4 linked regions of the Drosophila melanogaster genome follow. The protein of the gene in region 2 interacts with the protein of the main gene of each other region in a pairwise test. Each region holds a gene or a part of one and is shown on either strand. Other genes may lie near its edges. The genes, in order: AdipoR, cpa, CG9014 and Tmlh.

Evidence for each region.
Region 1: the proteins of cpa (region 2) and AdipoR interact in a two-hybrid assay, tested with the Drosophila melanogaster proteins (one large-scale study listed by BioGRID).
Region 3: the proteins of cpa (region 2) and CG9014 interact in a two-hybrid assay, tested with the Drosophila melanogaster proteins (one large-scale study listed by BioGRID).
Region 4: the proteins of cpa (region 2) and Tmlh interact in a two-hybrid assay, tested with the Drosophila melanogaster proteins (one large-scale study listed by BioGRID).

What each region holds. Positions count from the first base shown.
Region 1 is NT_033777.3:22,542,978-22,549,929, reverse strand, and holds AdipoR (adiponectin receptor), read left to right. Parts: upstream 1-2,083; 5' UTR 2,084-2,271; intron 2,272-2,364; exon of another isoform or gene 2,365-2,546; intron 2,547-2,731; exon of another isoform or gene 2,732-2,806; 5' UTR 2,807-2,852; coding exon 2,853-3,218; intron 3,219-3,656; exon of another isoform or gene 3,657-3,843; intron 3,844-3,898; exon of another isoform or gene 3,899-3,934; coding exon of another isoform or gene 3,935-4,054; intron 4,055-4,146; coding exon 4,147-4,245; intron 4,246-4,459; coding exon 4,460-4,812; intron 4,813-4,870; coding exon 4,871-5,172; intron 5,173-5,235; coding exon 5,236-5,315; intron 5,316-5,372; coding exon 5,373-5,507; 3' UTR 5,508-6,237; downstream 6,238-6,952. UniProt on the Drosophila melanogaster protein: Adiponectin receptor. In insulin-producing cells, regulates insulin secretion and controls glucose and lipid metabolism.
Region 2 is NT_033778.4:21,056,281-21,061,089, reverse strand, and holds cpa (capping protein alpha), read right to left. Parts: upstream 3,304-4,809; 5' UTR 3,069-3,303; coding exon 2,828-3,068; intron 2,707-2,827; coding exon 2,537-2,706; intron 2,479-2,536; coding exon 2,029-2,478; 3' UTR 1,207-2,028; downstream 1-1,206. Other genes in the region: mRpL54 (mitochondrial ribosomal protein L54), read right to left, coding at 1-17, 75-177; CG15653 (uncharacterized protein), read left to right, coding at 622-910, 968-1,191; shg (shotgun), read left to right, coding at 4,617-4,809. UniProt on the Drosophila melanogaster protein: F-actin-capping proteins bind in a Ca(2+)-independent manner to the fast growing ends of actin filaments (barbed end) thereby blocking the exchange of subunits at these ends.
Region 3 is NT_033779.5:13,721,540-13,725,843, reverse strand, and holds CG9014 (uncharacterized protein), read left to right. Parts: upstream 1-2,201; 5' UTR 2,202-2,312; intron 2,313-2,359; exon of another isoform or gene 2,360-2,368; 5' UTR 2,369-2,406; coding exon 2,407-2,775; intron 2,776-2,833; coding exon 2,834-3,451; 3' UTR 3,452-3,683; downstream 3,684-4,304.
Region 4 is NT_033777.3:20,405,649-20,409,770, forward strand, and holds Tmlh (trimethyllysine hydroxylase), read right to left. Parts: upstream 2,224-4,122; 5' UTR 2,176-2,223; coding exon 1,986-2,175; intron 1,927-1,985; coding exon 1,022-1,926; 3' UTR 967-1,021; downstream 1-966. Other genes in the region: eIF3g2 (eukaryotic translation initiation factor 3 subunit g2), read left to right, coding at 2,679-3,500.

The sequences.
Region 1 (6,952 bases), on a different chromosome or scaffold from region 2:
GTGTCGCGATTTTTAGACCGCACGATGGAGTTTATATTTTTATTATGTGCTTTGACCTTTCAGTGATAACTCAGGTTAATTGGATTTTGCGTCATCCTCGCCACTTTCGTTTGATACTGTGTTATTTCTAAAAAACATCTCTATAAAGAAATGCTTAAAAAATTAACTACATTTTTGTAATAAAAATAGTTCCATTAGACCCTTTAAAATTAACAAAATAGATATGGATAATATTTTATATATGTAAGTTCCTGACACCACTTTTCTTTCTGTGTGCCCATTTAAAAAAACATTTTTCTAAAAACATCTCTATAAAGAAATGCTTAAAAAATTATCTACATTTTTATAATAAAAATAGTTCCATTAGACCCTTTAAAAATAACCAAAATAATAACATTTTATATATAAGTTCCTGACACCACTTTTCTTTCTGTGTGCCAATTTCCAGCTACAAAATTGGCTTTAAATAAACCGCTAGACAATTGATTTATTATCGCCGTCACGTCATTGAGACGAACTCAATTGGCAGCATAGTTATAAGTGCTTATATATATATATATATATGTGCCAATGTGGGGGATGACACGCCCCAACTCCATAACCTGGCACTTAATTTAACTACGCAAATAGGGTTTACGGGCGCAGTTAACACATTTCCAGATCGATGGGAAGCGATTGTCCGTCCAATGAATGGGTCAATTTCACGCACTTACTCTCACCAGTCTCCCAGATTCCCAGGTGATTTGTGTGACCCATGGTGATCCATGTACTCCACCCACGTGCTAAGTGCCCGGTCAAATATGCAAATGTTTGCCGAGTTGGATGCACTGCAGCTGTGTTGGTCGCCACCCTTCCGGGTCTTTGGCATTTCCATTTCCATTTGAAGCACATTGGCCGTTTAGCATTTTTTGTCGCGCGCTCGTCATTCAAACAGAAACAGCTCGCATTATCGGCGCTTCTCTTTTGTGATTATGACCCTGAACTTCAGCGCTACTAAATGTATTAATTCAGTCGATTAATACCGCTAGTCGGGGTCTGTGCGAAATCTGCTCCTTGGCCGAGTTTCTAACGTAGCTGGTCAGAACGCCGAGAGCTGATGGATGATATTGGCCTGGATTGGTCAATAGGGTATATCATCTTGATGGGCTGCCCCTGAGCAAAGCAAGTTCTATAGTCTTATGTTTGAAATTGAATTTGTTTAACAAAGATGAATGACTCTTGACTAAACATATTGGCCTTTATGTGCAATAAATATTCTAAGGGCGCTATTAAAACGTAGTTAAATTGCGCTATTAAGAGCTTGCCAAACAAGTGAATCTTTATTGGGCCTGCAAGGCTGGTGATATTTCCTCACTAGCCAAACACCATTTTGTCTTCCCAATTAAGTTTCTTTATTATTAGAATTGTTATTTGCCTACATTTGTGGGTTTTTATAACACCGTAATGCTATTTCTAAAAAAGCTATAATTAGACATTCTTGTATTACTTTAATTAATTAATTTAAATATATATATTTTAAGTAAGCTGTGATGTTGTCTTTGTTGTCTTTGCAAAAGTGTCCAAGGAATGGCAGATATGTGCATACTTAAGTAGGTTAAATATCGGGGAACTACACATGCTAATTCATAACTACCAGGCTTAAGTTGAGTTCATTGTTGATGTTTTTTAATGAGATGCCTTAACATTTTTTGAAAACAATTTCTCTGTTACTGAAGTGTTTACAGACTAGAGGAAAATTTTCTATTCATATAATATACGTCTTGTAATTTCGTCACGGTAATTTCTCATGAAAAAAAAAACAAATGCCTGTTAGGTATTTACGCAAATATCCAATATTTGGTCAGTTGAAGTACCACCTTTGATCGCCAATAAAAAGTTGTTAGCTCTCAAAAATGTTGACTAATAATGAAAGCACCTTGTTTACCGGGAGCAATACGATTTGCTGGCAAGCATTTTCAAATATGGCGGGCGCTGCGCAGAGTTGCCACATTGTTTTACAGAGCTGTGACTACAAAGTAGCGTTAACAGCCGTTAACAGCTGCTGCGTCAAGGTATGACCGCATTTCCTCCGTTCCCATATGATTGCTAGTGATTTTCCCTATCGCGCTTGCAGTCACACTGGAAAAAACACAGAAAAAATTAAATTAAGGGAAAACAGATGAAAAACTGCAATTGCACGCAATTGAAGCAAGTGCAGCAAATAGTTTTTCGCGCCAGTGTTGACTCCTGGGCCTGCCGTCGAAGCCACGCCAACTGCGCGACTTTCGAGTGGTAAGTGAATAGTAACGAAACGCCAGTGAAATCGAGTGATTAATCGTTCGTTTGTGTTGTGACACTTTCTGTAACTTCGTATAAAAAAAATGGGAACTGCGCAAGTGGAGTGCAGGTGGGGGTTAAGCCAGTTGGTAGTATTCCACTCACACGTGGCCTTCTGGCTGCATTTTCCATGCACTTTGCTATCTATATAATGGTTTCCCCGAAATAGCAACTGCACCTTAACCCACTGAGGATCCCACTCGCATTTGAACACCATCTTATGTAAAAACGTAATTGGCAGCTAAGTTTCCTAAGTGATAAAACACACAAAGCTACCAGATACAGACTTATGTGCTACGTACAACCGATTTACTGGGGAACAAAGGTCGCGCCATACTATATAGCAATGCGATCGGAGCAGACCAATAAACAAATAAACAAATATCGCATTTCCCAGACGAGCTAGCGTTGAGCTAACAAACGCTTAGCATTGCTTTCGAACAACTAAATTCGTATGTATCGTATTGAACAGAACGTATTTCTCTTACAGAATACTATTTGCGGAGTGCAAAACGAATCCGCGGGATCGTAAGACCATGGATTCGGCCACTAATCTCCTCGAGCAACAGGGCTCAGCGGCTGATGTGAGTGGCGGGAGCCATCCCGCCGAGGTGGAGGTAACCACCCAGGCTCGAGCCACTTTCGGCATGGACGCCGAAGGACATGCTACCGGCGAGGCGGTGACCACCACCACGGCCACCTTGCGTAGAGAAGGTTCAGACGAGGATATCTTTGAGCAGGTGCAGATGATCCTGCGCAAGCGACGTGGCTGGGGACCGGAGGACTCGCTTAGCCCCAATGATCTGGACATTCTGGAGTACGACGATGAGTTGGTCGAGGAGGATGACGCCGGTTGTCCACTCCCCTCGACCCCGGAGGACACACAGCTTATTGAGGCGGAGGTGAGTTGGGGCTATTAACCTTTATTTCCATTTTCCACCAGGTGGAAAAGTACGAAATGCAATCGTCAAAACATGTGGCGGAGCTCTTATCGCTGACCTACCACCATGTGGTTATCGGCTGCCACTTGTTAGTCGCAATTTTCCCTCTGCGCAGGCAGTCATTTCAATGTCGGGCGTCTTATCAATCGAAATGTTGCATTGGCCAATGTCTATTTGCCACATGCAAAATGTACCATAACCATTGTACTTAAACCTTATCGTGGCCATTTCTCCATTTTTATGACTCACTAAATACAATTGCTCAATTTAAAGCATATTCCATAGCCATTTGAAAGTTATACCTCTTATCTCTCCTTGCCTTTAATGTCTGTCCGAAAGGTGTCAAGTAAAATTTCTTGACTTTGAGCCTTATACTCTAGACAATCTGCCCGTTTGATCACCGGCTTTAAAGGTCAGGCTTAGATTGAACGCAAAAAGCTTTGGCATAGCCCTTTATACGACAGATGCTGGAAAAAAATCACAAATTTACGTCGATGCGGTGCTGATAATGCCCGGAGTCAGTTTCGGGCAAGCTTATCTTATCGCGGAACGCATTCGGTGCTTTCTTGTTCCGCCAACAAATTGAGTATGCGACTGGCAGAGGCTTCACAGTACAATCGCTCATTGCCTCGCACATTTAGTTCTAGTTCCGTTCGAATCTCTGTTAGCCGCTCAAGATGCAGACCCAGCCGGAGGTTATAGTGCGTGTCAACCCGGATCTGGAGCCGGATCTCAGTCAAGAAACTTACAGAACCCAAAACCCTGACACAGTCAAGGAGCAAGCTGAAAATGCAGTCGTTAGTCCCATTTGCTCTTAGTTTTTCTTTGTTATTAAGCTTTTTATATTTGTTTTGAGAGCTGTTTAATGTCTTATCACTCTATTCCACAGATGACGGAAGTGCTGAAGGCCGGAGTTCTCTCCGATGAAATTGATTTGGGCGCATTGGCACACAATGCCGCCGAGCAGGCAGAGGAGTTTGTGCGCAAGGTAAGCCAAGTGATGCTGCCAAGTGAAGAATGGCTTAAATGGAAGATACTCTTCAAGATTTGTAATATTGTAGCTTTTGTATTTTTGTTTTTATTTCAATAAATAGTATTAAGTGTTGGGACTGTATTTTTTGTTGTTGTTGTTTGTTTATAGTTACCAAACGTAATGTCTTATCTATAGAATGATATGTTATTTTTTTCCATTTCATCCGTAGGTCTGGGAGGCTAGCTGGAAAGTGTGCCACTACAAAAATCTACCCAAGTGGCTGCAGGATAACGACTTCCTACACCGCGGCCATCGCCCACCGCTCCCCTCTTTCCGTGCGTGCTTTAAATCAATTTTCCGCGTGCACACGGAAACGGGCAACATCTGGACACATCTTCTTGGCTGCATCGCCTTCATCGGCGTGGCATTATACTTCATCTCGCGTCCCTCGGTTGAGATCCAGACACAGGAGAAGATCGTTTTTGGCGCCTTCTTTATCGGTGCGATTGTGTGCCTAGGATTCTCATTCGCTTTTCACACACTGAGCTGTCATTCTGTAGAGATGGGAAGACTGTTTTCTAAGTAAGTATTCCTCGACTAATTAAATGGATATTATGTTAATTGTTTTGTTTACCAACAGACTTGACTACTGTGGAATTGCGCTGCTGATCATGGGTTCCTTTGTGCCTTGGCTGTACTATGGCTTCTACTGTCATTACCAGCCAAAGGTGATATACCTATCCGTTGTTAGCATTCTGGGCATCCTCTCCATCGTGGTCTCGCTATGGGACAAGTTTTCGGAGCCGGCACTTCGTCCCTTGCGCGCTGGCGTATTTATGAGCTTTGGCCTGTCGGGTGTGATTCCAGCTATTCACTACAGCATCATGGAGGGCTGGTTCAGCCAGATGAGCCGCGCCAGTCTGGGATGGCTAATTCTGATGGGTGAGTGCTTGTAGATATGCATATTAAAATAATGGTAAAACAATGGCAAAATACATCTTGCAGGCCTCCTCTACATTCTGGGCGCACTGCTGTACGCCCTCCGTGTTCCCGAACGCTGGTTCCCTGGAAAGTTTGACATTTGGGTACGATTCTTGATGGTTTTGTCCTTTGCACCGTTCTAACAGTCTTTTATTTTGCAGGGTCAATCACATCAAATATTCCACATACTGGTCATTGCGGCCGCTTTTGTCCACTACCATGGCATCTCTGAAATGGCCATGTACCGCGTCATGTATAGCGAATGCACTGTTCCCATCGAACCAATAACCTTTTAGATGCTGAAGTGGATGCCAAGAAACAATCATCGTAAAAGCACATACAATCCCATTCATAGTACGAGTAAAACATATATTAATGCGAACTAGCGCAGTTTTACAATGCAACCTTTTTAGCGTTTGGGGAGCATTTGTACCTTGTTATACAAAATCAACGGAACCATATAGAAGACAAAAACACACACTTAACACACAATTACACGCATTTATCATCAAAATCTTGCATAGAAAAAAAAAAATTGCAAAACCAGTTGATTGTCGAATGAAATCTGCAGTAGAGAAATTAATATATGTACAATTATTTATAAAATTCCAATTTGTCTACTTAATGTTGTCGTAAGTTGATTTACATTTCGAGTAGTGCAGAATTGCTTGCATCTGAAATTGGCAAAACGAGATGACTTCCGCTCAAGGGTTCCATTGCTAAAACAGGATCTAAAGGAGCTACCATGTCAGCCAAGCAATTACTTTAAGTTATGCAATTAGATGATCCCCTTGTGGCATTAGTATTTACCTTACCGCTTAGAGTTGTTAGGGTTGTATGGAGTAATGAACATACGTTTCATCGTTAAATGAGGTCTGATTTTATATTCACACATATACACAGCACATCACAAATTCCGCATCCCTGCACCCACACGGCAGAGCATCGCGCATGGAGCCTAAGATATTATATCACCATATACATTATAAATGCAGATCTATCACAAAACATAAAGCGAATCAAAACAATAAAAAAAAAAGCTGAGACTTCTAAAAGAGCGTTTTGGTGAAGATTGCTATATTAAGCCATATATAATTTTATTTCTTGGCGCAAAAACTATTTTAAGGTTTGCTGATTGCCATTGAGCAATTCGGCGGTTGCCATCACCCTAATGCCTGGCCATAAATATCGCTGCAGAGAACTAGAAATTCGCATCGGGGTTATTAGTGGAGTTCAGTCTGCTGATGACTGGGCGAATGCCGAGTTGACTTTGACCCCCTTGATGAAGTGAGCAGCCGTGGTCTAGTCGCCGAGATCTCGGATCGCGATCTGATTCCTCTGCTGCCTTGTGTTCTATGCGTCGTCATTGTCTTCGCCGTGTGCCAGTTTCTATCGACAAATCCGCAGATCGTTAAACCTTTTATTTTGCACGGCGCAAATAAATCGAACTTTGTACTTGACAACTTGTCGGCACGTGTCTTTCAACTAAATGCGATTGCAGGGGTTTTATTTTACAAACAAAAATTCAAGTTCAGCAGAAAAAAAAGCAAATGACTTGGTCGAAATAAGGCGAAAATCAGTTCGGAAGTTGGGCAAAGTGGGAGAAAACCAAAGCCAAAGAGAAATATTTTTAAAATGCCTTAATGAGGCGTAAGCATGTGCAAAGCTAAATGCTACAGTGCGGCTTGGATTTGATGATTTTGAAGACTACGCATTTTCGGATAGGTATCAAGCAAATGCT
Region 2 (4,809 bases):
CTTTTTCTTCTTGCCCGCTGTGGAATGCATTTACTATTAGTTGTTAACTATTTAACCTGGATGTGGAGGCTCACCTGGCGCCGCCGGTTTTGCAGCATAAAAACGTGCCCAGTTTCCTATCGCTGGGGCTATCAATCGCTGCCTCGCCATCTGGAAAACTGCGGTTAGGCTGGTCATGTCTGCTATGTGCTTTATTTAATCCGTTTTCGTCACTTTAATAGAAAAACAAATGATAAATTACAGATATTTACAAAACTGTGCGTTTTGTTGTATAATCTGCTAACTATAAGTGTGGCACTGCAGCCCTGGTTATAAAGTATACGACCAGTCAGCTGATTTTTCAAAACAAATAACTATCGAAATTATTTTTAAATGAAAAGCAATTTTATGAGCAATTTTATAATATGACTTAATTGTCACTAAAACAACATAACAATAGATGATGTTGTTATATTTTCTGCAAATAATTTGCATATAAATGCATTTAGAGGTGGACTTCGGTCTTAATAAGCCTTTTCACATAACGATATCGACCAGCTGTCATCGCTAATTCGACGCCGGCTATACGGTATATTACACAAGTAACAGCAGCTGGATTGTAAATAAAAAAGCGTTAGCAAGATGGTTGGACTCAAGTTTCCGTCGAACCGAACACTGGGCAATATTTGTGTCTACGGTGCGGTGGCCTCCATATCCGCTGTGATGTACATGAAATGGAAGATGGAGGATCGGGTGAAATCCGCAGAGTACTACAAACTGGCCTTGAAGGCACTGCGGAGCCATCGAGGAGCAGTTGGTCTCCTGGGTGAACCCATCAAGGACTCTGGCATCGATCTGTCCAACGCCAACAACAATTGCAATGCGGAGGAGGCGCGTTGTGAGGTGGCTGTGCGGGGCAGCAAGGATAAAGGTAGATCCATCGATTTTGAAAGCAAATCTTTGGCGTTTACCAACCTTATATTTGCAGGAACTTTATACTTTTGGGCGTCCAATCAGCCGGATAGAGGCTGGCTGATCGATCGACTGGAGCTGGAAACAAAACTCAACCCAGAGAAACGATTTTTGCTTAAAAAATCCGAGGAACTAACCTTCGATCTGCCCGAGAGTATAACCAAACAAACTGCCCAGCAAGTTGATTCCAATGTCATTCTATCCGCATCGGATCAACAACCAGAAACACATTCAAAGTGAAGACAATCCGAATGTCCGATTCAATTAGTTTATTCTCTTTAAATTTGACTAATTCAAGCAATCTTAAATGTTTTATAGTTATGTTATTTTAATTACAAATTTATTGTTTTTATAAAATCAAAGTCTTTAGTTATTGTTTGTCAATGGAGAGCTGGCAAAAATGATCAGTGGTTTAGCATAGTTATTATTCATGCTCATACTAGGTGGTTGGTTTGTGAACAATCGGGAAAGCGAAAAACTTGAATGAGTGCTCCTAATGATACCACTTAAAATAGTCGAGAGTCGGCTGGTTGGTCTTCAAAGACACGAAGAATTGACTGGCTCATCGAGAGCGCAGATCTCGAGCTTGATTCGTTTAAAATTAGAATAATACATAGGTCAGAGGACATGATAAAATCCGCGTTTAATGCTCTTCTTAAACGATAAAGGCGACAATTGGTGGCGATCGTGACGTAGACGAGGCGGCAGTGCATCGTTCACCGTCAGGCTAAAGTCATCCAAATCCTTGCAATCAAATCGTCTCCGATCGTACTCGATATATGTGTAGTTATGTTTACGCACTTTCGTCGTTGTATAACACAGTATAAATACAGGCCGTATATATATATATAAGTAGGTATATGTTCGTATGTATATAGCCAATTACAGACATTTGCTTTTTCGGCAGGCACCTGCACCTGGCCGCCCTCGTTTCTCGTATTCCTGCTACTTCGTTTCGGATGCTGTGGTGTTAATGCTGGTGATCGGTTCCTATGCTCGCTTGGCCATGGCAAGTGGAAGACTATTGGGCCGCTTTGTCGACTGTGTCCGCTCCTCTTCCGCTTGCACCTCCTGGTCTTATTGCGTCTTCAGTTCCTTGCCAATGCTGTACGAGACGATTTTGCTCCAGTCGATCTTGGTCCTGGTGATGGGCAACTGGCGACGCATTGCCTTGAATGTCGTGTCCGACATCGTCTGATAGTTCTCCGAAATGGCCAGCTGGTACTCATTCTCGGCGTCCTCGATCAGACGGATCACCTCCTTGGCCACCTGCTGCTCGTTGCTGACCACCACGCTTTCGCGGCACTCCTTTGAGGACACCAGCTGGACGTTGCCGTCCTCGTAGTAATGCACCTGCACCTTGAGCACACCCTTCAGTTCGGCGGTTCCGCTGCCCGCCTGGAAGGTCACATGCCACTGGGAGCGCCATCGGCCATTCCAATAGTTCTTCGGCTGGAACTGGTGGTCTTCGATGCAAATGGTCAGGGTGATCTGGTTGCCCTGCGCCTTTCCAAAAACAGAGCTGACCTGTAGAGAAAATGTTACGGGTTATTGTAAGCAATAGAGCGTTTTTCATTCAACTTACCCCGTGTCTATAATGACTGGCAGTGTAGGCGAGCGTCTCCAGGTCGAGGGCCGCCCTCCAGGGCTCCGCAGTGGCATCTGCCTCTACGTCCTGGTAGTCGGAAGCCTCTTTTCGGAGGTGGTCGTATTTGAAGGCTTGCTTTGTGCGCGGGTCGTAGAAGCGACCGTTTCCTGGAATGCAATTGCTTATCAGTGTGGGGCTCAAGATATCGACCGAAAGCCAAACAATGTGTGTAGGTGACTCATATGGCAGGCTTTGTCCATTTAAGGGCATTGATGGAACTGAACTCACCCAGATCGTTGTGTTCCGATATGATGGCGTTATGATCGGTGCCCTCGATGCGAACCGGAGTCAGCTGGTCCTTGTTGTATTGGGCGAAGGCGTGGCTAGCCCCATCCTTTAGCAGAGTGTCATTCTTGAGGAGCTCCCGCACATCGTTGAACACTTCGTTGAACTCGCCGGGCGGCGCATGTAGGATGAAGTCCGATACGATGCGCACCTTCTCCGCATCGGTGATCGGTGTCTGCTCCATAGTTCCACTGGTGATTCACGAAATCGGGGCTGGGCGGTTGTTTGGTTTGGTCTGGTTTCCCCTCCGGTTCCTAGGGTTCTACCTTTCGACGGGATCTTCTTGTGGAGTGGTTGGAAGTTGCGGTGTCGCTGGAACTCTTCCTTGACCGTTTTTTCGGCGCTGCAATCTTTTTTCTCCGCAATTAATGGGCCAAGACGATGACGATTCGATTCACTTTTTTTTCCACTCTTTGCTAGGGATGGGAAATATTTGTGTACCTGTACCGGATGCGATTCACCGTATTTTACGGGCAGTCTACACTGCTCCATAATCCGACGGGTGAATGGCAAAAGTCTTGGCGCGTTACTTGAATTGCAATAAAAAAACTTTTAACGATGTAGAATGTAATACATTATAGAAATAGTTCCTCGAGACCAATAAATATCATTGCCTGTTCAAAACCAAACTCAATCAGAACTTTTTTAAAGCAAATTATGTTATTGTTGTACATGGTAGCTAGTTTTGGTTATTAAATATTTTTCAGTTATATAAGTATTAAAGTATTGATCAACTCGTTTAAAATTAACCTGTTTGTTTGTGAAAAATAGTTGTTAATAATTCTATTTGAAAGCCCAAGCTGGGCCATTTTTATCTTCCAGCTTCCATTTTTAAAGAAATATTTGTTATATTAAATCCAGTGTAATTGATTCACATCAACGTATTTATCGAGAAGTGTAGACAGTATATAGTATCGATAAAACGAAAACATCGAGATTATTAACCGTTAATTATCGATGACCGAGGAATCGACGGTGTCTCACATCTCTAACGCCGCCCGTTGTTTTTGTTGCATTGTGTTTTTGCTTTTGAATTGAGCGGTTGTCTCGCGCGTCGATCGCAGTTTCAAAATCGGTGTGGCTCCGCAGCTTCGTTGTAAGTCGACAATAAAAGCGATCGAAGTGAAAGAAAATACGTTTTGCGATCTTTTTATTTAAAATAATTCGCCAGAAAGTACAAGTTCACAACGAAATACCATCGAAAAGTGCCTTTTTACCAAAAGTCGTTGGTAACACACATACCAACGCAGCGAACCGAACCACACGCACACAAATGCGCGCGCTTGGCGGTGTGCGTGTAACCACTTTTTTACCTGGTCTTACCTGTTTGCGGTGCGAAAGAGAGGAGGCAACAGAAACGGAGAAAGAGAGTGCCCAAGCGGACGAGTGAAAGATAAAAGTGAACGAAAATATCAGCCAGAGCAGCTGCACCGAAATCGGAATAAGTCAGTTAACAATCAGGGCGCGCACTGTACGAGTTCGATTCGATTGATAATTATTGAGCGGTTGCCATGAAAATGCAGTCCAAACAAACGGTACACTGAGAGAAACGAAACAAGAAGAAGAGTGCAAATAGAATAGAATAAAAAAGAAGTGGAAGTAGAAGTGGGCAACACAAACAAAAGTAAAAGGTGTGTGAGTGAAATAATACTGGGTGATTCACGAAGAAGTGCTCAAAAGTGTTGCGGTTGAAAAAAAGAGAGTCTGCGATGGCGGATCGCCGCTAGAGAGTATGTCCACCAGTGTCCAGCGAATGTCCAGAAGCTACCACTGCATCAATATGTCGGCGACCCCGCAGGCCGGCCACCTAAATCCCGCCCAGCAACAGACGCACCAGCAGCACAAGCGAAAATGCCGCGACCTTGGCAGGCGACTAATCCCCGCGAGACTCCTCCTGGGCGTTATCGTGGCCATCAGCCTTCTGT
Region 3 (4,304 bases), on a different chromosome or scaffold from region 2:
TGGTAATTTTTTGTATCTTTCGGCGGTCGAAACACGGATGGCAATTTGCTTGTTGCTCCAGAAATGGATCCTAATGTCCAGGGCAAGAAGTCAGGGAGTCAGGGTTAACATGACTGCTAGTGTAGAGGTGAAAATTTATCAAAATTCTTCAGTGGATAACGTATATTTAAGCCGCTTTGCAGCTTCACCTCTTCTCAACGCCCCATCTTTAGTGATTAGTATAATTGATTTACCTACTTACAATTCATATAACCTAACTCATCCAATAAATTATACTTCAAGAATAAGGTAAATATGTTTAGAACATAATTACACTGCCAATCAACAATTTTGGAACTTAAGGCGAAGCGGGAAACATGTGAGCAGAATGCTACTTCGAGTCCGTCATTAATGATTATCTATCTGCAGAGTAGAGGGAATGTGGCATCAGGATGCTAAGGACTTGGGGACAATGAGGCACGTACTGATGTTGCAATGAAATGACAACGGCGCAAGAACAGCAAATATAAATGCAAATAAACATTGTGTGGCAAGCATTTGTGGCTCGTTACATGCTAACACAGAGCCACTCACGTAATGACTGTTTACACGTTGCTAACCTTATTAGTTGGGTTTCGTACATAAATACACTCGGAAAAACCAAACATGATCTTCTTGCACTTAAAAAAAACAGCACTCAAATGTACATATATATTTTATTAACAAAAAAAAAGGCACTTCTATAATATATAAAACATCATAAGCTATTATCCAAATCTTTCATCAGAGTGTGTGCATCCTCTAGGAGCCTTCGAATCATCAATGCTGATTTTCACAAATGCGGTCAGATCAGTTGGAAAAACATTTTTGTGGCGAGCTGTGTATATGCTTACGTACAAACTTATTAAATTTTCCTGCTTGAGTGGTTCGTTTTGTGTTTGCTGGATGATGGGTTTTATCGGAGCCAAGTCAAATGAAAATTGTTGATTATTTTCTAATGCGCTCCATCAGCTCAGAAATGTGAAATATTGCTATTGAACGTCGCAAAGCCAATGGATTGATAAAACGAACACCACACCCCACACGGACTTAATTATTTTGCACAAAATGCGATTTATTAAAGAATATTTCACACCAGCCGGAGTGGGGAATCGCATATCAATTGTGATTTATTCAACTCATCAATTCAAGCATTTCGATTACTGTTTTTCAAGATAAAAACGAAATGAAAGAATGAGTCTTGAATATTATGGCAAACTGAAAAGGCTTGAGCAGGAATTTAAAGTAAACTAAAATGTCAGACTGACAGTTGCATTCGGAGATAAGCATTTGGTAGCACTAGACTGAAATTGCAATCCAACGAAAAGGATTCGATGCAGTAAAGTTGTCACAAACAAAATGCACAAAAAGGCACACAAAAGCAAATGTCATTCTTAGGCAAAACATGAAATTTAATATCCAAGCGAATGACGCTTCCAAGTGAAATTAAAAACCGAATTTCCAGTCACACAATGCCCATTCTATTATACACACGTATGTATATACATTCGAGTTTGCATAGAGCAGTTGATATAGTGTAAATATTTTGACATGGCAATATGTTGTCACAATCATGCCTGTGTGTCGTCTGATGAGTGTTTGTTCGAAATTCGGCCATTGTGGAGCTGAAGATGGAAAGTTTATTTGTTTGCCCATGTCCCAGCATTTGCTGTTAATTTGTTAAAATTTCACTTTATAAATAAAATTCAACTCCTCGCTTCGCTTCGCATCGCTTCTCTGTGCAGGCTAAGTTAAAACGTGGTCGCCGAAGGTTGGCTGGACGTTTGGCATTATTCCGGGTTGTCGTACCATAAGTTTTCCAATTTGCATAACTTCCGCAGCAGTTGGGACTATAAATATGCAAAGGGTTTTACGACCGCACTATATGCAAGTGCCTCAAGAAAACGTTTTCTCAGACCCATTCGCCCCCACCCCACTTGCTCTTGGCCCACTTGGATGGATGACTCCCAGTGTTCTGTTGGTTGTTTGGCTGGTTTCAGTTGCGCTTGAATTGAAATTGAAGTGTCCTAAATGGTAGAAGGCTCAATGAGAGCTGTTTGCATAACAGATGATCGAAAGGCCTAGTATTTCTTAGCTTAAGAAAAGGATTTTTATTTACAAAAATAAACTATATATACTATTTATATAACTATGCATAACTATACACATAGTTGGCTTTTAATCAGATGCCAGCTCGGACACAACTCAGCGCCGACGTAAAAACTAACTTTTTGATCGAAATATTGTAAAAATCGAGTTTCGGATATAGGTATAAGTACATATCGAACTCAGTGGTAAGTGGATGAGAGTGGCTCCATGCCAAAAAAAAATAACATCTCAGATTCTCCAGCGACATAAACTTCGGTATAGAAATCAAACCATTTCGTCATGGGCTTTGATCTAAACTGCATTGTGGGCCACGTTGACGAGGAGCTCATCTGTCCAATTTGCACAGATGTCCTGGAGGAGCCGGTCCAGTCATCGGAATGCGAGCACGCCTTCTGTCGCGCCTGCATCGACAAGTGGATGATCCAGAAACAGATTTGCCCGGTGGACCGCTCCGGGCTACTGACCTCACATCTGGTGCCCGTTTCGCGCCTAATGCGCAACATGCTATCCCGCCTAAAGATCAAGTGCACCTTCTCGCAAAGCGGTTGTGCCCAAATGCTGGCCCTCGAGGAGTTCCGGACCCATGTCGCCGCCTGCGAGCATAATCCCAAGGTGGTTGTCGAGTGCAGCAAGGGGTGCGGAATGAAGGTGAACATTCTGGGAATAACTTGAACTGCTTAAGATAGCTATAATATTCCCGCTAAAGGTACCCAAGGACGAGATGTCGCGCCACAACTGTGTGTTCGAACTGCGCGAGCTGGTGGAGAAACTGGCGAAGGAGGTTTCCGATCTGAAGCAGAAGCAATCCGATATGGAGGAGCAGAGCTCCAGCCAGCGCCGAGAGATGGAGCTGTTCCAGTACTATATCGCAGCACTGCGATCGACCAATCCCATGCTGCGCAACATTGGCGAACAACTGGACCGCTTCTCACTGATGCAGTGGGGCCATGGACTCCCTCTGGCCAACATCCATACGTGGGGCAGTCTGATCTCCACGCCGGACAATCCCATGCACCTGATGGTGCGCGACGTTTTGCGTGAAAGCGGCTGTCCGATGCATATGCTCAATATGCTGGTTGAACGTTGCCACGAGGATCGCTGGCCCGAAGGTCTGATGACGTTGGACGATCGCCGCGAGAACCAACATCTCATGAGTCGGTATGTCACCCGATTGGTGCCCGGTCTGGTCATTGGCAAACCGTGCGTGGTTGTTCTGGGCGGCGAAAACACCCACATGCCGGAGAATCTGCGCCCCATCCTCGGACTGGTCATGATCTTCGTCGACGGTGTGAATGAGGTAATATTTGGCGAAGAGATTATTTAAGCCAATGATGGGTCACCACATCCTGCTTGTATCCTCCACATCTAAATTCATTTTGGTAACACAACACAAAAGCGCAACTGGCTGCCCGTTTTCCACGTCCTTTGTTTTGGAATGATGGTCATGTTGCTTCACTGTCTTAAATTACACGATCGTACTTCAAAAGTCGTCAAAATGAAAAATATAAATATGTTTTATCAATTCGAGTTACGTAAATAGAAAACAAACAAATGGTCGTGTTATTTTTTAATGTCGGACCTTATGAATAATCTGAGGGCTCCCAATACTATCGAAGAGTTTTTATGAAACGTATGTAATTTTGAAATTTTTAAGGTTTTGTTAAACTTCCCTCATCGATTGGTTCAGTGCAGCAACACTCACAGTTTAAAGTTGTCGTTGTAGCTGACAGATATTCTTCTCGGCAATTACGCGGCAATTATAGAAGCTCAGTGAACACTCGGGCGTATGCGTAATGTTGGAGCGAAATTAAATAAACGCATAAGCTGGGATTGAGGTTGCTCCTTCTGTGGGTGGGCGGTTGGTTGGGCTTGCGGTGGGTGCATCAAGTAAAACTTATAATGGAAATGGTAAAAGTTTGGCTGTGCTCGGTTCGCGGCAGTTGGCGACACCATTTGGAAAAGTTTTACAAATTGTACAAAATTTAATTTCCCAGCTGAGATAAATTTTCGGGACCATTACGATTTTAGCCTGCAATTGAAAACGAGATCTCTGATCAAATGAAAATTAATGGACTGCAAGCAGCTTACTTCGATGCGATGAGCTCACATTTGGGCAAATATTGTCCATTGAATGAAGTATACACCGAATTAGTGTCAAATCAAACACGACTCTTTGA
Region 4 (4,122 bases), on a different chromosome or scaffold from region 2:
GTATGCCATGCAAAGGCACGACTGCTGCGCTGCAACTTCCGCCGAAGGAAAAGCGAGCAAAAATATATTTATCGCCCAGCTGGGGCATCGAAGCTGCTTTTAAAGGCTTTTCCCGGTCGTGGCCGCGCATATGAGAGCTGGGTGAAAAACGGGAAAAGCGAGCGGGAAAACCTGCATGAAATGCAATTATCATAAATATTCAGACACTGTACGTTCACCGTTTGCCGGATCTCTTTAAGGCACATCCATATTTGGAGGACATTTAAAGGACAGCAGCGCGACAGCCATTAACCTGCACGGCCAACAAAAAGTAATTTCACTTTTAAATGAAAAAGTTCAAAGTGCGTTTGTTTATGCCAAACACACACTCTCGCACACAAATACAGAAAACCCACATGAGACGCTGGCCATAAAAACAAATGCCAAATGATTTTTGTTGCTGGTTTTCTGTATGCGATCCACTCCCCTATGACAAAAATTAGACGCTGGCCAGCAATTGTAATCGTAACTTTTTATTATGATACGTTAGCATTTGCAATCGAAATTGAATTGGAGTGGGACTCGGTTCAGAAAAAAGAAAAATATGCTTGAACAATTTGCGTGTTTTTTTCTATACGCAACGATTCTTTAACAATGTATGCTATTCCTGATATATGAACCGAATTTAAAATATGTTCTTATTTGAGCAATCAAAAGCAAACTTATATATATGCAGAAAGGATGTTGATTTAAGCCAGTATCTTGCATCGAAGTGAAGGAGTCAGCTACGAACATGTAAAGTATATATATTATTGATCAATGTTAAATGTTCTTCTATCCACAAAATAATCTCTCAGTGTTAAAGTTATCCGCATGAAACTTTCCCATTGCAAAAAGTATAAAAGTCGGTACGGACCATATAATACATAAATGATTGCTGAAGGAATATGCGGAGCACTAGAAAGTATAGAAAATAAATCATAATTTCTTAGTTCATAAAAGGTTTTAATTCGGTATACATTAGGTATTTTTCAATAAGCTTTCAGTCAATAATTCCCAGCACTCGAGCCTTGCTGAGAAAATCTGTGCGCTGCACATAGGAACCGGACATGGTACGACTTCCTGTGTATGCCTCTCGACCATGGAGCACTCTCCAGTTATCGAAAAGAACAATGCTGCCGGGACATAGCTTGAGAGCCCACTGCTGTTGCTTATCCCTGACGATTAGCAAAAGCTGGCGAAGACTGTCATAGAACTCGGCCATTTCGGCTTGAGGGATGGTATTAAACACGGCGCGATCATATACATTTAGTCTGAGTTGAACAAATTCCTGAGTCAGTGGATCCACCTGTATAATGGGGGCAGTGTGGTAGTGGTGCTCCCCTTTTTCGATGTACTCTCCAGGAACTTGGACACTGCACAGTACATCATAAGCGGCGGGATACCGGCGTTTCAGTTCGTGAACCACATGCAGACCATCAACAAAGAAATTTTCGCCACCCGATCCCGAGTGCTCAATGCAATGTAGAGCCTGTAGTCCGGCTGCATCGCAGAAATAGGTATTATCCGTATGGGAACCCAGGTAAAGTTTGGTATAAGCGGTGTCCGCGTGATCGGGGTTATCGCTAAAAGTCCACATTTCGCCAAAGAACGTTTTCATAAGGGGGAAAACTCGTCGCAGAGCCAATTCTGTCATATTCGCGGTGGGAGCCACATCATCGATAAAGACAATGCCATAACGCACCAGAGATTCAACCAGGGATCTGACTTCGTTATCACTGGAAACCAGCTGGGGCAATGGGAATCGTAAGTGCCGTTCGTTTTGCAAGATAATGCTACGATTCCATGGTGTCAGATTAGTGGACTTTGATCGCCGACCTATCAACCTCTCCAGCTGTGAGTCGAAGATAAAGTCCAGGTCATAGTTCGACTTGTGAGCATCACTCCCTAAAATGGCAGGCCAATAAAATCGAAGCTAGGTGCATTTTACATCAATTTTTTCTTACACTGCACTTGTAGATTCATCCCGTCGTATTTGACATCTAGTGGCATTATATCAGCTGGTAGATCTAAGACATCGTATCGCCTCTGATTTGTTTCGAAATTTAGACACTCCACACATCGACAATGATCACGGAGCCAAAACTCATTGATTTCTATTGATTGGCTGGTTTTCGGGTGCTTCAAAAGCAACATGTTAATGCCAATAGAACAACCGACGGACTAGAGCAGTGAAAGTGAACTAACAGCTCAAAGTTTGATTAAGTTTCAGCTCGGTTTTAATTGTACTGTTATCAGTAGGAGAGCGATTACTTTCATGCTCAAGTCAGAGATAAGAACTTATTTGTTTACGGAATAACTATAAGATTAATAAATTTATTGAATTTAAAGACAATATGTAATTATTAAGAACAACTCATGAAAGTAAAAAAATTTATAATTTAATCAAGATTGATTGAATGGTATGTTTTTGTTGCAAAGTTATCTTAGTGAATTGCTACTCAAGTTGTTGTATTTTTTATTAAAAAATCATTACTTTAAAGAAAATATAAATATTAATTTCAAATATCTTTTATTGAAAGGGATTTTTTCCCATCTCAACAGGCCAAGTAAAATTCAAATGGAAAAACTCTCTCTAAAACTAGAGATCTCTAAGTTTTTAATTCATTTTGTACCGGTTGTGTGGGAAATCATAAAAAATGAAGACTTTCGTTACTTCCTGGGCCGATGAGGTGGATGCGGACTATGTGGATGGACTGCCGCCTTCTAATGAGTACATTAAGGGCGACTTCAAGTACGTGACGGAGTATAAGTTCAACGATGATGGCAAGAAGGTGAAAGTGGTGCGAACCTTCAAGATCGAGAAGCAGATTGTTCCGAAGGCTGTGGCTCGTCGTCGCAACTGGGTTAAGTTTGGGGATTCGCGATCGGACAAGCCCGGACCCAATTCCCAGACGACAATGGCCTCCGAGGAGATCTTTATGCAATTCATCGGCTCCAAAGATTTCGACCAGACCCACGAAACCCAACTTGATCCCGGCAAGAACATCGCCAAGTGCCGCATTTGCAATGGCGAACACTGGAGTGTCAATTGTCCCTACAAGGGCACCTCGATGGATAGCAAAACCGTGATGGAAACCAAGGCCAATGCCGCTGCAGCTGCCGCTATAAGTGATCCCAGCAAGACCGGAAAATATGTACCACCCTTCATGAAGGACGGCGGAGGCATATCTGGCAGCAAAAATTGGGGACGGGGTCGGGATCGGGACGATTCGTCGGCAGTTCGCATCTCAAACCTATCCGAATCCATGACCGAGACTGATCTCGAGGAGCTGGTAAAGAAAATCGGACCACACACCAAGATGTATTTGGCGCGCGAAAAAAACAGCGGCCTCTGCAAGGGATTCGCCTACGTGCACTTCAAGTTCCGCCAGGATGCAGCTGCCGCCATTGAGGTTCTTAATGGCCACGGCTACGACCACTTGATCCTCTGCGTCGAGTGGTCCAAGCCTCAGCCGTAATGGCTATAGCCTTGTGTATTCGCTTCTCTGCTTATTCGAGAACGGAAATGAGCTGCGGTGGCAGTGAAATCAAAATAAAATTCTGGTACACCCTGCAAAATATGCGACCACTTTTATTTTTAATTTGCACACATTCGATAATTACAGAGAATATATTAATAATAATATAAAATCTATTTATTAATGTTTCGTAGTAGATTTTTTCATCTTTCAGTTGAGCAAAGGATATGAATTGAGATAGATATGAAAATTGTTAAAAACAGTCTGGTTCATTTGGGACCACTCAATTTTCGAGTTGATATACCCTTGGACATCCAAGGTGGATGCTTTTTTTAAGTGCATAAAAGAGAAAGCTCGCCTTGAGCGAACTAAAGCCGATAATGCTCCGTTTTAAATGCGATTTTTTCGCCGTGCTCCGCAGCCGTACAAAGGTGAAAGCCACTTAAATGGAAGCCAACGTGGTGCCGGATGATGATGGCACGGCGTTCCCGGCAAGAGCTGAGAAATGCCACAAGACGCTGGCCGGACCGAATGAACATTAATAATTAAATATAAGAGCGGACTTATGCGCACGATACTTGGAGCGGAGCCCCTCAGAACGGGACGCCAACTACGCGACCAT